Elephas maximus indicus: one gene and its partner. The protein of the gene in region 1 purifies or fractionates together with the protein of each later gene. This does not show direct contact. Links are inferred from orthologs where the notes say so. Each region holds a gene or a part of one and is shown on either strand. Other genes may lie near its edges.

Region 1 (6,958 bases):
CCAGGGGCTCAGCGCACCAAGGGTTAAGGCCGAGAGGCAGTGGCTCTCTGGAGTTGCACAAAGGGAAAATGCACTTCCTGCCCCGGGCAGAGATGCTGTTTTATGCTCAGCAAATTAGGATGTTTGTTTAATTAAGAGGACACACAGATTTTGTTCTTCTAAATATTTTTGGAACATGATGCTTGGGAAGAAGCTGTCAAGGCATGGATTTTTTTTTTCCTCCCCTTTGCTTTGGGTTTCTGTTTCTCCCCCTCCAAGGGCAGGGGCTGGGCTCAGAGGAAAACTACGGCCAACCCCTCCTCTCCTTTTGAAATAAAGATGTCAAGCTGGTCAAGGCTGCCTTAAGTACTTTACTGGAGGATTAGTGAGAAGAGGAAGTGAAGAAAGCTGGGCCATCCTGGCTTCTAGCAATACCCTACCAAGCGATACAACAATGGTGCTTTTTTTTTTTTTTTTTTTTTTTGAGTGTGTTTCGCCAGTTGAAGAGCTAACAGATCCTTGTTTTGTTTTTTCTAGAGCAAGCGCAGGCAAAAGACAAGCTACATCAACATGTGCCCTTCATCCTACGAGAGAGGTTGTAGCCCCTCAGGTTAAAAAGTTTAAAAATAAAAAACAAGAAAGGCAGGGCCCCAACCCTCTCAAACAAGCAGACCTCCAAATAATGTGCCTCTCTGGCTGCCTTTCTACCACAGGCTGGAGAACTCCCCAGACAGAACCCGCCAACCTTGGCTCTCGGGCACCTGGATCTGCCCACAGGTGCTGCCAGGACTTGCTGAGCATGGAGAATGGACCGCTTCAGTGTCACTGGGCCTGGCCATCCTGGAGCATGGAGGCTCTCAAATTACACTGAGCAATGCTGACATTTTTAATTACCTCCCAACTATCCACTAAATGACTCCTCACTTTCCAACACCACATGCGTGCCTCAGTTTGCCAATCCTGCGATGTGTTCCTGGCTCGCAGCAGCTTCCCAGCTCCCAGACAGAAGTGGCTCCTCTCCGCCTTGGAATTCCTCGAGTCCTTTGTCTATGGCATTCTTGGGACACTGATCACAGGCTGGCTTTGTATTTCAGTCATCCTTCCACTGTTTCCACCCAAGACTGTAAGTGTCCCAAGGGCAGAGGCCTCCTCCAGGGGCCCCCAAGATCTCTGCTAGGTGGGCTGGCTCCCTCTCCCACTTCCATGACTCACAGTACCTTTCTGGGGTCCCTGTCATCTCTGCCTCATATTAAAGTCATCGACAGATTTATCCCATGTGCTAAAGGAAGGGGCCAGGTCTTACTCAACCTTGCACCCCCACCACCTGGCAGAGTCCTTGGCACAAAGAAGCCACTTAAATATTTGCTCCATTACACATCTGTGTACCCTCCCCCCCACCATAGCATCCTCACATGTAAACTGACTAATATTAATCGAGTGATTACCTAAACAGGCCTTAAAGCAGCCTTCCTCCTTACCAAGAAGGGACTAAGCCATCCAGTGAGGTTAGCACATCGGGCTTAGACAGTGAGCCAGAAAAGGCCGCAGTGTTGCACCGAGAAGGAGCTAAGGCTCATCCTCGTCAACAGTTACTTTGAAATCCTGTTAAACCCAGAACAGGATGCAGTGAACCGACAAGAGGCTGGGCCTCTCAGATGCCCCGCGGAGCAGGACCTGGGACTTCCCAGGAGCCTTCTCCCCACGCCCCTGGGTGGGGTCACAGGCTCAGCCCTGGCACTCACCCTGCCCCCAACCTGGAGGCAGCCTGCAAGCTAGTCCTGGAGGTGACTCTGTCTCAGCGTTAAACCACGAGGCTCTCCAGAGGGTCGGGGGCTCGCGAACCTGCCCTGGACGTGGCCCAGGGACAGAATGCGTGAGGATTCCTGCACCGGGAACGAGGGGAGTTAGGAACCCCTGGACTGGCCCACACAGAAAAGATGCGCTAGCCCGGGCCTAGTCCCAAAGCAGCAGGTTCCAGCCCCGGCCCCTGGTCAGGCGGGGTGCCGCGTGCGCAATCAGGTGCACGCCTGGGAGGCCCCGACAGCTGCAGGCATTCTCAGGTAACAGAGTCAAAAGTGAGGGGCTGGAGGGGCGGCCTTTCCTGCGTCGCGGCCCTGTCCCGCCAGGTCCCCTTTTGCACGCACCTCTCCCCACCCTCCTCGCCCGCAGACTCCGCCGGGCGAATGAGGAAGTCAGGAGCGAGGGCGGAAACCAAGCCGAGTGCAATGTCTGCGGCAGGAATTGTCCCATTCTGACTCAGGAGGCCGCCTTGACAGCTGCCAAACGGTCCCCGCCTGCCCGTTACCTCTGTTTCGAAAACGCCTGGAAACTTCCAAAAGAGCCTCTGCCAGAAGTCCACGCTGCCCCGAGCCCCCCGCCTCACTCGCGCTCGCTCGGCTGGGTCCGAGGTGCAGGGCTCCTCCGAAGGGGTTAAAAAGTTTGGCCGACTTGGGCACTTAGGAGGCGCGGACAGGGCGCGCGCCCCGGCAGCCAGGGAGGTCGGGGCTTCCCGCGCGCCCCGTCCGGGGAATGTGCCCAGGCGGGTAGGGGACAGGGTGCCCGGAGCCCCGGCCCCGAAGCCTTCGCCCGCCCCCGGAAGCCTCGCCGTCCCGAGCGCCCGCGCAGGGGTCCCGTGCCCCTCCGGGGAGGATGCGGTGCCCGGGCCTGAGGCCCGCGGAGATGCCGCCCGCCCGCGCCGCTCGCCGGCCGCACCGAGGCCGAGAACCACACGCTGGCCCGCTCGCCCCTGACGCCGCGCGTCCCGTCGCCGCCGCCCCCGCCCGCCAGTCCGCCTGCCCGGGGCGGGACCTGCCGGTGGGGCGAGCTCACCTGAACCTGGATCTGCCCCGGGGAACAAGCGCTGCTGCTTCTGAGAGGGCTTTTTTGAGCGCTCGAGCGGCGGCGGGTGGGGCGAGCGTGCCAGGCGGGAGCGGCAGCAGGTCAGCCTCGTTCAGCCTTCCGTGCCCTGCCCAGGAACCGCGGTGATCTGCGCGCCTCACCGCACCCAGCTCTGCTCCTCGCCGCCTTCCCGCCCCGCCCTCGCAGCCGCCTGTTCCTGGTCTTGATGGACGGACAGCTTGGCCTATGGGAAGAGGGGTGGGCGGGACCAGGGGAGCCAGGGGGCGGGCATTCGTCCTCTTCATCCGCCTCCACCTCCACCCGCTGCACCTTCCCCCGCGCTTCCTAGGCGGGAGCCCCGCCCAGAGGGCGGGTCCAGCTGCAAACAGGTTTGGGAGGAGGAGGATTGACGTAGCCAAGGTCCAATCAAGAGGAGGAGGCTCGGGCGCGGAGGACTTGGCCTGGGTTTGGTGCATTGCCTATGCTGGGGCGAGGCCGGCGGGAGCCGGCAGGGAAGGTTGGGGGTGTTGACACCGGCCCCGCGAGCTGTGTTTTTCCTATCCCATGTCATCCTGCCAGAAAAACAGATATTAAAGACCATATATGGGAAAAATGCTGTTTTACATAATTATGGGGGCGGGTGTGGACTCAGCCCCGGATTCCGTTGCGGGCGTCCTGAGTTCGATTCCTGACCCTATCTATTTTCAGCCGGCTTCACTTCTGTGAGCCTCCCGACCTTTGCTCAGGCAGGAAATGCCCTTCCAAGACCCTTTTTACCTGATTTTAACTCGCACACATTCCTTCAGGTGCTTGTTACAAATACTTTGGTTTTTTTTTTAGGTAGGCAAGTCATGCTTTTTTTAGGGGGAGGGGAGTTACTGTCACTACAAGAAGATAAAGTCACTTTTTATTTCTTTTTGTTAATTTTTTTTATTTCTTATACATATCTTTTAATCCATCTGGAATTTATTTTGATTTTGGAATGAGGAAGAAATGCATTTTTTTAATAGCCAGTTCTCCAAACACCATTTTCTCCGCTAATTTCAGGTACCACCTTCATTATATACTAAATTCATATATACCTGAAGCTGATTTTAAATTTTATCTATTGATCTTTCTGTATATTCCCATGCTAGTTACACAATGCTTTTAATGATGGTACCTTTATAATATAGTTTATATCCGAGAGGGCGAATTTCTCCTCATTATTCTTTCTTTTTGGAATTCCCTTACTATTTGCATTAAACTGGTCTTCCAAAAGAACTTAAAGGAAAAAAACGTATTCTAAAGGCTAAAGAAAACTGGAAAAACATTTTGCAACTCTGTGACAAAGAATAACTATCAATAATAGGTAGAGAGCTCTCTCCAGTCAATGAGAAAGCCCCCAAATAAAATACACCCAAATTAAAATGGGCAGAAACAGGACCAAGCTATTAAAAAAAAAAAATGTGCATTTATGTGTCCCCAACAATTATGAAAAAATTAATCAAAAGAACAAAAACAGCATGGAGTGACATTTGTCACCTATGAAATTAGAAAGAAGAAAGATAAAAATGCCCACTGTTGGCCAGGTTTGAAGATACAGGCCAGAAAGTAAATTGATCAAAAATTCTGAGAATACATCCTAAGAAAATAATGGAAGAAGTGCACAGACTGGGTTAAAAAGTTCTTCATTGCAACATTGTTTATAGTCACTATTAGAAATAACTTAAATGTCCAATAATAAAACATTGATTCAATGAATTCTGATATACCCATATGTTGAAAAACACTCAGCAAGTCATTAAAATTCTTGGTTTTAAAATGTATTGGTTTTGTGACAGACTGATTGGAATGGTAAATGTTCACTTGAAGCTTAATAAAAATTAATTTTAAAAAAATGTATTGGTTTAAGTGAGGAAGAATAAATTAGACAATGCTATTGTAGCAGGATTTCATTCATTTTTGTGTGATGTTTGTATGTGTGTGTTGTATGAGTGTGTATCTCGGGTGTGTGTGTGTGTCAGAGAGAATGAAGTTTAAAAGGCATTATAACAAAGTGTAAACAGATGTTATGTCTTGGTAGCAGAATTATAGCTGATTTTTTCTTTTGCTTATCTGTATTTCTAACGCATATATCACTTGCATAATTAAAAAGAAGAAGACTCATTTCAATGTCACCTCTTCAAAGATGCCTTTCCTGACCCTCCACGTTAGGTTAGATGCCCTCCTGTATGTTCTCACACCAACTTTCATTTACTTCTCACATAGCAGGTACACACTAGATTTTAATTGTCCATTTACTTGTTTCCTCTGTCCAGGCTAAAGCTGCCGGAGGGTTCTGGCTTATTTGGCTCCTTGGACCCAGAGCTAACACAAGGCCTGGCATAAAATGGTCTTCTGTGAATGCTGGAGCTAGACTCAGTGAGCGTGAGCCTGTTTCCTTATCTGTAAAATGGGTATAATCAGGGGGCTTTGCCTAACCCACTGGACTGTTGAAAGGAGCGTAGGAGACCATGGACCTGAAAACATTTTGCAAATTGCTAAGTAGTGTGCACTTACAACAGAGCATTCTTGATAATAATCATTTCCATTTTCCTCAGGCCCACATCTAACTAAGGAAGTCTTCTGCCTTGCTATTCAGCCTAACACTATCATCTATCACCCAACAACCTGCACCCTTCACCGTTTTCACTCATGGAATATTTTAGAAAAACATTTCATCTATTTTGTCTGAGTCTTAAAATAATACTGTTTGGAATAGAAAATACTAAAAAGAAAGAAAAGAAAAATCACCCATAATCTCCCCTGCCATAGTGACTATTAACAAACCTTTTTCCTTCCTTCAAATACACTCTCAGGAGTATGCATATACACACTTACTGATGTATATATTTTTTAGTAAAATTAAAAGATCCACACATATATAACCCACTGCCGTCGAGTCGTTTCCGACTCATAGTGACCCTACAGGACAAAGTAGAACTGCCCCATAGAGTTTCCAAAGAGCGCCTGGCGGATTTGAACTGCCAACCTCTTGGTTAGCAGCCACAGCACTTAACCACTACGCCACCAGGGTTTCCCCACACATATATAGCCACCTGATTTATTACAAAGGTGCGACTGCAAACAGGTGGAGAAAAGATGGTCTTTTTTAATAAATGGTATAGGTCAGTTGAAGAAAATGAATCTTGACCCTCTACCTCACACCCAACATGAAAGTAATTTAGAATTGACCAAAGACCTAAATGTGAAAAGTAAACAAAACTTCTAGAAGAAAGCGTAGGAGAACATCTTCATGATCACGAAGTAGGCAAAAGCTTCTTAAGCAAGATATGAAAAGCACTAAACATAAGAAAAGATGGTTAAATTGAACTTCAATAAAATTAAGAACTTCTGTTCATCAAGAGACACATTTAAGAGAGTGAAAAGTCAAATCACAGACTGAAAGAAAACAGTTGCAATACACATACCTAACAACAAAACCCCGTCCCCACAAAAAAAAAAACCAAACCCATTGCCTTCGAGTCAATTCAGACTTATAGTAACCCTATGGAATAGAGGTTATAGGGTTTCCAAGGAGCACCTGGTGAATTCGAACTGCTGAACTTTTGGTTAGAACTCGTAGCTCTTAACCACTATGCCACCAGGGACATGTACACAGAATTTATCAAGAACATCTATTTTAAGAGAAATATACCAATTTTTCTTTGAACAGATAAAAGATTCAAATGGGTACACCATAAAAGAGGATATCCAGATAAGCAATAAGCATATGAAAAAGTGGTCAACATCATTAACCCACCCAACCCAGTGCCGTCAAGTCGATTCCGACTCATAGCGACCCTATAGGACAGAGTAGAACTGGCGTAGTGGTTAAGTGCTATGGCTGCTAACCAAAGGGTCGGCAGTTCAAATCCGCCAGGCGCTCTTGGAAACTGAACATCATTAGTCATCATGAAATGCAAATTAAACCACAATAAGATACTGCTGTCTCCCTACCCCCACCAAAGTGACTCAAATTAAAACACCAAGTGTTGTCAAGGATGAGGAGCAACTACTCTCATACATTGCTTGTGGGAGTGTAAATTGGTGCAACCACTTTGGAAAAAGTGCTTGGCTGTATCTACTCAAGTGCATATTACGTGTATACCCCATGACT
Region 2 (7,109 bases), on another chromosome or scaffold:
TCAGGAGGAGCAATGATCTGGGGAGAGAAGCAGACAATCTGTGTGAGAACTGGGATGTGGCGGCCCTGTGGGACTGGCACATGGTGACAGAAAAGCCTCCTGAACATCCTAGGGAACCACACGCCAAGATGGCTGACGACCGCTTGGACAACCACTGGGACCATCCCACACAATGGCCAACAAACTGGTGGCCGTCTCCCAACTCATGTGACTGGACACACACTCACCTTGATCTTCATTGTGCTAGGTGCCAGCGCTGTGATCTCCTTCTGCATCCTGTCAGCAATGCCCGGGTACATGGTGGTACCGCCGGACAGCACTGTGTTGGCGTAGAGGTCCTTGCGGATGTCAACGTCGCACTTCATGATGGAGTTAAAGGTAGTTTCGTGGATCCCACAGGATTCCATTCCTGGAAGAAAATGGAAGGCAGACTAGATTTAGTTTTGCTGCAGGGACACCTGGCCCTTGTGCAGGGCAGGGGCCAGGAGCCCAGCTTACTCACCCAGGAAGGAAGGCTGGAAGAGGGCCTCGGGGCAGCGGAACCGCTCGTTGCCAATGGTGATGACCTGCCCATCAGGCAGCTCATAGCTCTTCTCCAGGGAGGAGCTGGAGGCCGCCGTGGCCATCTCCTGCTCGAAGTCCAGGGCAACGTAGCAGAGCTTCTCCTTGATGTCACGCACAATTTCCCGCTCAGCCGTGGTGGTGAAACTGTAGCCTCGCTCCGTGAGGATCTTCATGAGGTAGTCCGTCAGGTCCCGGCCAGCCAGGTCCAGACGCAGGATGGCGTGGGGGAGAGCATAGCCCTCATAGATGGGCACAGTGTGGGTGACCCCATCGCCGGAATCCATCACGATGCCGGTGGTACGGCCAGAGGCATACAGGGACAGCACGGCCTGGATGGCCACGTACATGGCGGGGGTGTTGAAGGTCTCGAACATGATCTGTGGGGAAGACATGAGGCCTTGTCAGGCACAGGAAGCTGGCCCTGCCCACCCAAGAGGGGAGGGAACAGCCAGACCAGACCAGCGACATGCAGAAAGTGCAAGGAACACAGCTAAGAGTGCTGGGGGTGGGGATGAGGATTCAGTTCAGACCTACTGTGCACCTACTGAATACACACTCTGAGGCCATCTTACACCAGCCTCTTGGTTCTGGCATAGAACCAGTGTTAGTACCTACACCCACAGCACTAAAGGCTTAAAACACCTAGTCACTGAGACAAACACCAGAAAGAGACTGCGTCTGGGGAAAGGCAAACAGAACCTGTACAGTTCCACAGGAGACTGAGATCAGAGAAGAGACTCCTAGGAGAACGGCAGAAAGAAGGACAAGTGAGAAAGAGCGTGGTGGAGAAAGTTAAAAAAGGGTGGCGGATGCCACCCAACAGGACCCCATCTGGCCACTGACCTGGGTCATCTTCTCGCGATTGGCCTTAGGGTTCAGGGGGGCCTCAGTCAGCAACACAGGGTGCTCTTCGGGGGCCACACGCAGCTCGTTGTAGAAGGTGTGGTGCCAAATCTTCTCCATGTCATCCCAGTTGGTGACAATACCATGCTCAATGGGGTACTTGAGGGTCAGGATGCCTCTCTTGCTCTGGGCCTCGTCGCCCACATAGGAATCCTTCTGGCCCATGCCCACCATCACACCCTGCGGAAGAAGGGCAGGAGGCAGTCAGCATTGACCCCCGCCCATATGGCCTTCCCAAGGTCCCAGGGGCCGCGCCCAAGAGAGAGCCCCACCCACTCACCCACCCACTTCGAATAGACTGTCGCCTTACCTGGTGCCGGGGGCGCCCCACGATGGAAGGGAAGACGGCCCGGGGGGCGTCGTCGCCCGCGAAGCCGGCCTTGCACATGCCGGAGCCGTTGTCGACCACGAGAGCAGCGATGTCATCGTCCATGGCGAACTGCGGGGAGCAGTCTATGAGCAGGACGCCCCCGCCCCGCCCGCTGCGCCCCTCCCCGCTTCCGGCGCGCGGCAGCCTCGGGCCGCCAGGGGGCGCCGGCGCGCGGCCTCGGGACAAAGGAAGCCGGGCCGGCCACGTTATTACCATAAAAGGCAAAGGTTGTTCGGCAACGGCCGCAGGCCAGGCCCCGCCCCCCGAACGCCGGCCCCGCCCAAGCCCCGTTCAAACCCGGCTGGGCGCGCGGCCACACCCTCGGCGGGCGGAGGGAGTTAAGTGCGCGCAGCCGCCTTCACGGCTGCTGCGACCCCACCCCTTCCGGGACGGCCGCCCCGCCCTCACCCTACAGGCCCGGCCCGCGCTGTCCGCGTTCGCGGCTGCCGGACGCACGCGCAGTAGCGCCCCAGCCCCCACACGGCCCCGGCTTGGGCCCGCCGCGCGCTCCCACCCACTTAGCCAGGCGGCTGGCAGCAAGCAGCCTGCCCGCTCAGACAAAGGCTGGGTCTCCCCAACCCCGACCACTGAACCCCTCAGGGCCGTGCTTCCCAAGCCCTTGTTCCCGGGTCTTCACTTGTCGCGGGGCCGCGGTTTGTGGGCAGACACCAAGGCAACCCGGCCAAGGGGTGCTGGCTGCCCAGAAAGAGGGCACGGGGACTGTGCGCGGGGTCCCGCCATTAGCGCGGGGACTGTGCGCGGGGTCCCGCCATCAGCGGGGGGGACTGTGCGCGGGCCCCGCCATTAGCGCGGGGACTGTGCACGGGGCCGCCATCAGCGGGGGGACTGAGTGCGGGGTCCCGCCATTAGCGCGGGGACTGTGCACGGGGCCGCCATCAGCGGGGGGACTGTGCACGGGGCCGCCATCTGCGGGGGGACTGTGCACGGGGCCGCCATCAGGGAGGGGACTGTGCGCGGGGCCCCGCCATTAGCGCGGGGACTGCACGGGGCCGCCATCAGCGGGGGGACTGTGCGCGGGGTCCCGCCATCAGCGGGGGGACTGTGCACGGGGCCGCCATCAGCGGGGGCACTGTGCGCGGGGTCCCGGCCAGGGGCTTACCTTTGGGGTGGCGGGTGTGAATCGGCGGCGGTAGCGGTGCGGTGGCGAAAGGCCTGTGCTCGCGGGGCGGACGCGGTCTCGGCAGTGGCTGCGCGACGCGCCGCCGGGTTTTATAGGGCGCCGCTGCGGCAGCTCGAGCCATAAAAGGCAACTTTCGGAACGGCGGCCGCTCATTGGCCGCCCGCCGCTCACTCACCGGCCTCGCCGCACAGGGCAGCATTTTTTTACCCCCTCTCCCCTCCTTTTGCAAAAAAAAAAAAAGAGAGAGCGAGAGCGAGATTGAGGAAGGGAGGGAGAGTTTTGGCTTTGGCCGCCCTTGGGTGCTGGGTTCGTGGGCCAGGGTGCGCGCCCTGGGCCACCGCCTGCCCCGCTCTCCGCACCCCCTATCCGGGACCCTCGGGGTGTGGATGTCACATGAGCAGTGCACGCCCGATTGGCACGGGTCAGCTTGGGTACTGCCAGAGGCCTGGTTGCTGTGGGCACCTGCTTGAGGAGCAGCGGGAGAGGGGAAGTGAGGTGGGGGCAGTCAGGGGTCACTGCCCGTTGCCAACATTAGCGAAACTGCCTGGACGGGCTGGGGGTTTCTGGCTGGAATGCTCAGCTTGCTACGGAGCAGGGGGGCCCTACTCAGAGGTCTGGGGCTGAGGGTAGGGGTTGGGGGAGTCAGGGGGCTTGTGGCCACTTAGAAGGACCTCAGGGCCCAGGCCCCAGGACCCCAAGGTTTCACTGTGCGGAAGTCTCCCAGCCACCCCAGCCACAGGCTTTGGGCTCCATGGAGCAAGGAAACTGTTCCCATGGTGCCAGGCTGCCTCTGAGGGCTGCCTGGGCACACCCAGGCCAGACCAGGGCCGTTAGCCGGTGGCCGAGCAGCTGCTAGGCCCTGCTGGGCTCAGTACAGCCCTGAGGACTGGGTCACCATCCATTGTCATGTGTAGCTACAGCTGAGCTGCCTACCTGGACCATCTGGAGTCTGCAAAGAACACTGGGGAGGGACACTGCCTGTGCCAGAGAGGAGCTGGGGGACAGTGGTGGTGGGAGCTGTCCTTCAAGAGCCTCTGGTCACTCTTTCTTGCCCTGGGTCTGTTCACCAAACACTGGGCAGGACCTCTATGCCCAGGAGTGTTCCAGGTGGTCAGCAGTGAGTGGCCCACTTCCCTGTTCCGGGAGCTACTAGCCTGATTTGGGTAGCCACATCTTGGTCAGTGTGTCCAGACAGAAGCCCAGGGCCATGGGATCCCAGAGTAGCATGTGGCTCTGGCTAGGGAGGCATGCAGGCCTTCTGGAGCTGGTGACAAGAAGTTGGACTTGCATATGAAGAAAACAGGAAGGTGGTCCAGCTAGGGGCACACACTAGTTGCCACCACTGGTCCATGCTGGACACCCTGTCTGCCCAGGGCTTTGCAGCACATAGCACGTGCTTGGGGAATGTGTGTGGAAATGAAGGCTCCATTAGCCCTCATAGGGGTGTGGTACCTGTGGCCAGGAAAGAGGTGGCAGAGCACTATGAAGATGGACAGAGTGACCACCACCCAGCTTACAGAGGAGGTCATAAGCTCCGAGCCCCATGCACACATTCCCAGAGGCCTGCCAGGTGACTTGCCACTGCTCCACTGTTACCGCCCAGGCCTGGGAGCACTTTCTCAGCCTGTCCACTCCCTGCCTCCCCTCCCTGGGGGCTGGACTGCCCTGTCCCTGGCCTTGTGTCTCTCAGTGGCAGGAGTCTTGCCAGCCGCCTCAGAATCTGCCAACCCTGTGATTCAGCAGGCTGGGGGGCAACCTTTTCCACTCACTGTTGATGAGGCTGTGCTCCCGTTGTGTGCACAGAGCCTAATGGGTGCTGAGCAAGCGGGGCGGGCCAGAGCTATAGGGCAAGGGTCCTGAGCTCTACCTGGCCTCTTCTCAGAGGCCTCTGCCCAGGCACCCAGCCAGGGGCCTGTCAAGTGACAGGCACTCCAGCTCACCTCGCCTCAGGCTGTAACATTCCTGGCCTTCTGGCTCCCTCTGCCTGCAACCGCCACTTCCTTTTGCTCTCCTATGCATCCTGCAAGGCCCATCCAAGAACACCCCTCCTTGGGGAGCCCATTAGCATGGTCCACATACACCCTCCTTCTCACACAAGATCACTGTGCTGGGCCCACATTTATAACTGAACCTTTGGAGGGTCTTGGCCTCCCTACTTCCCACCACATGCACCCCAGGGGCCTACTCTGCTAAATGAAAAATTGACCACCTGTCTGTCCTCAATCCCTGGGAGGTGCAGAAGGTTAACTGAAAAGCTGTAACTGAAAAGCTGGGGCTTCTAGTATACCCAGAGACACTTTGGAAAAAAGGCCCTGGCAATCTATTTTTGAAAAACCAGTCTTTGAAAACCCTATGGAGCACAGTTCTCTGACACACATGGCATTGCCATGAGTTGGAATGGACTCCACGGCAACTGAGTGGCATCTGACTGGGTGTCCTCAGCCTTCAGAGAGGACCCTGTGGAGATGGGGTGCAGGAGGGGGCTAGGGCAGCCAGCCTAGGTGGGGGAGGCGCTCAGTTGGCCAGTAAACAGGCCAGAGAGAGAAAGCAAGCAGAGGAAGAGGAAAAGAGGAAGTGGAGAGCTGGAGGGAGGGGGTGGAGAGGGCAGGAGAGAGGAAGTGAACAGGTTCTTCTTAGCTTGGGAAATTCGCTCTTGCAGGGAGTTTCACAGCTGGGACTTCAGGTCTCGGCAGAGCCACAGCAAGACCTCAGCTGGGGCCCAGCCGCTGCAGACTCCACCTGCTCCCCTGGTACTTTTTCTTTCAGCGCCTTGGTCCCACCTCCATGCCTTTGCTCTAGGGATTCCCCCACCCTGCAAGGCCCCCAGGCAAGGGGACATCTCTAACACGGTGTCTTGTAGCATTTACAGTGCCTATGGAGGGGCCACTCCCTTGAAGCCCCACTGCCAGGCGGGGGTCCCACGCTCCATTTTTTTGAGAAGGGAGGCTGAGCAGGGCAGGAGAACTCCCTTTCTAGACTTTTGGCTCCAGTAGGGCAGAGACCCCACATACAGTAGGTGCTCAGTGAGGGGTGACTGAGTGCTGGAGTGAAGGAGGAGCTGAAACATCTCGTTTTTACAGATGAGGAAACTGAGGCAGGACTGGTAAAGCACGTAGGGCTGGCACCCCTGTGTGAAGGATCCAAACTCCAGGCACCCAGAGGTGGCAGCCTCACCTTCCTTCTGACATTGCCGCTCCCTGGCTAAAGTGTCCCCTGGAATGTCCCCAGGGACCTGGATCAAAGGTTCTTCAAAAGGCTGAATTCCTGGACCCTTCCCTCCTCAACACTTGCCTCCTGAGGACCAGAGAGGACAGCACCAGCTCTTGGTCACACAACAATCCATCCTGAGGCCCCATACCTGCTCTCTCCTGCCACTTCTTGCCCCCATCTCCCCTGTTTCTAGAATGTTCTCAAGGCACAACCCAGACCCCTTTGAGCAACTGGACCTCAGGAATCTGGAGAGCATGTGCTGGGGGTCCCTCTGCCTCCTGCCCAAGATCTCCTCAGCCTTCAGTGTCCCCTCTTGGGCTGCCTCCTCCAGGAAGCCTACCATGACTTCCTCCCTCCTCTGACAGAATAGCAGTAGCTTTCCTGCTCAGAAAGGCAAAGAAGTCCAGCCAAGATCACACAGCAAGGGCACAGCCAGGAGCTGAATCTGAAAGGCCTTTCCTCTGGAGCACCTCCTAGATCACACTGATCCTGCTTCCCACGCACCGATCAGCCAGACAGGCTTCCAGAGTTCATTAGGCACTGTTCTGAGCAAGGATCATGAGTGTAATCCTTGAGACAGACCTCGAACAAAAGAGCAAAGAAAAACAAGTCTAATGCCTCTCTGAGGGCAAGCACAGGTTTCCTTAAGAAGGAGAACCTGAGACCAAATCCACTGCCATCAAGTAGGTTCTGACTCATAGGGACTTTATAGGACAGGGTAGAACTGCCCCGTAGGGTTTGGGGGCAGTTGACCTTTTGGTTAGCAGCTGAGCTCTTAATCACTGTGCCAAAGGACAGTCAGGGAGGGCCTCTCTGGGGAGGTGACAGGCAGCTGAAGGAGGTGGTGAAGAGAAAGGGAGGGTTTCAGAGGCAGGAGGGCTGGGCTGGGCCATGGCCAGGGTCACGGACTCCACCTAGGCC

What was found. Proteins that work in one complex are often made in the same cells at the same time.
Region 2: the proteins of MYH9 (region 1) and ACTB purify together in Homo sapiens (affinity purification with western blotting; 4 studies listed by BioGRID and IntAct, with this or other methods). This does not show direct contact. The link is inferred for Elephas maximus indicus from reciprocal best matches to the Homo sapiens genes MYH9 and ACTB.

The regions. Positions count from the first base shown.
Region 1 is NC_064822.1:179,980,915-179,987,872, forward strand, and holds the start of MYH9 (myosin-9), read right to left. Parts: upstream 3,024-6,958; 5' UTR 2,809-3,023; intron 1-2,808. UniProt on the Homo sapiens protein: Cellular myosin that appears to play a role in cytokinesis, cell shape, and specialized functions such as secretion and capping. Required for cortical actin clearance prior to oocyte exocytosis. Promotes cell motility in conjunction with S100A4.
Region 2 is NC_064830.1:100,217,189-100,224,297, forward strand, and holds the start of ACTB (actin, cytoplasmic 1), read right to left. Parts: upstream 3,055-7,109; 5' UTR 2,958-3,054; intron 1,907-2,957; 5' UTR 1,901-1,906; coding exon 1,778-1,900; intron 1,648-1,777; coding exon 1,408-1,647; intron 942-1,407; coding exon 503-941; intron 410-502; coding exon 228-409; intron 18-227; coding exon 1-17. UniProt on the Homo sapiens protein: Actin is a highly conserved protein that polymerizes to produce filaments that form cross-linked networks in the cytoplasm of cells.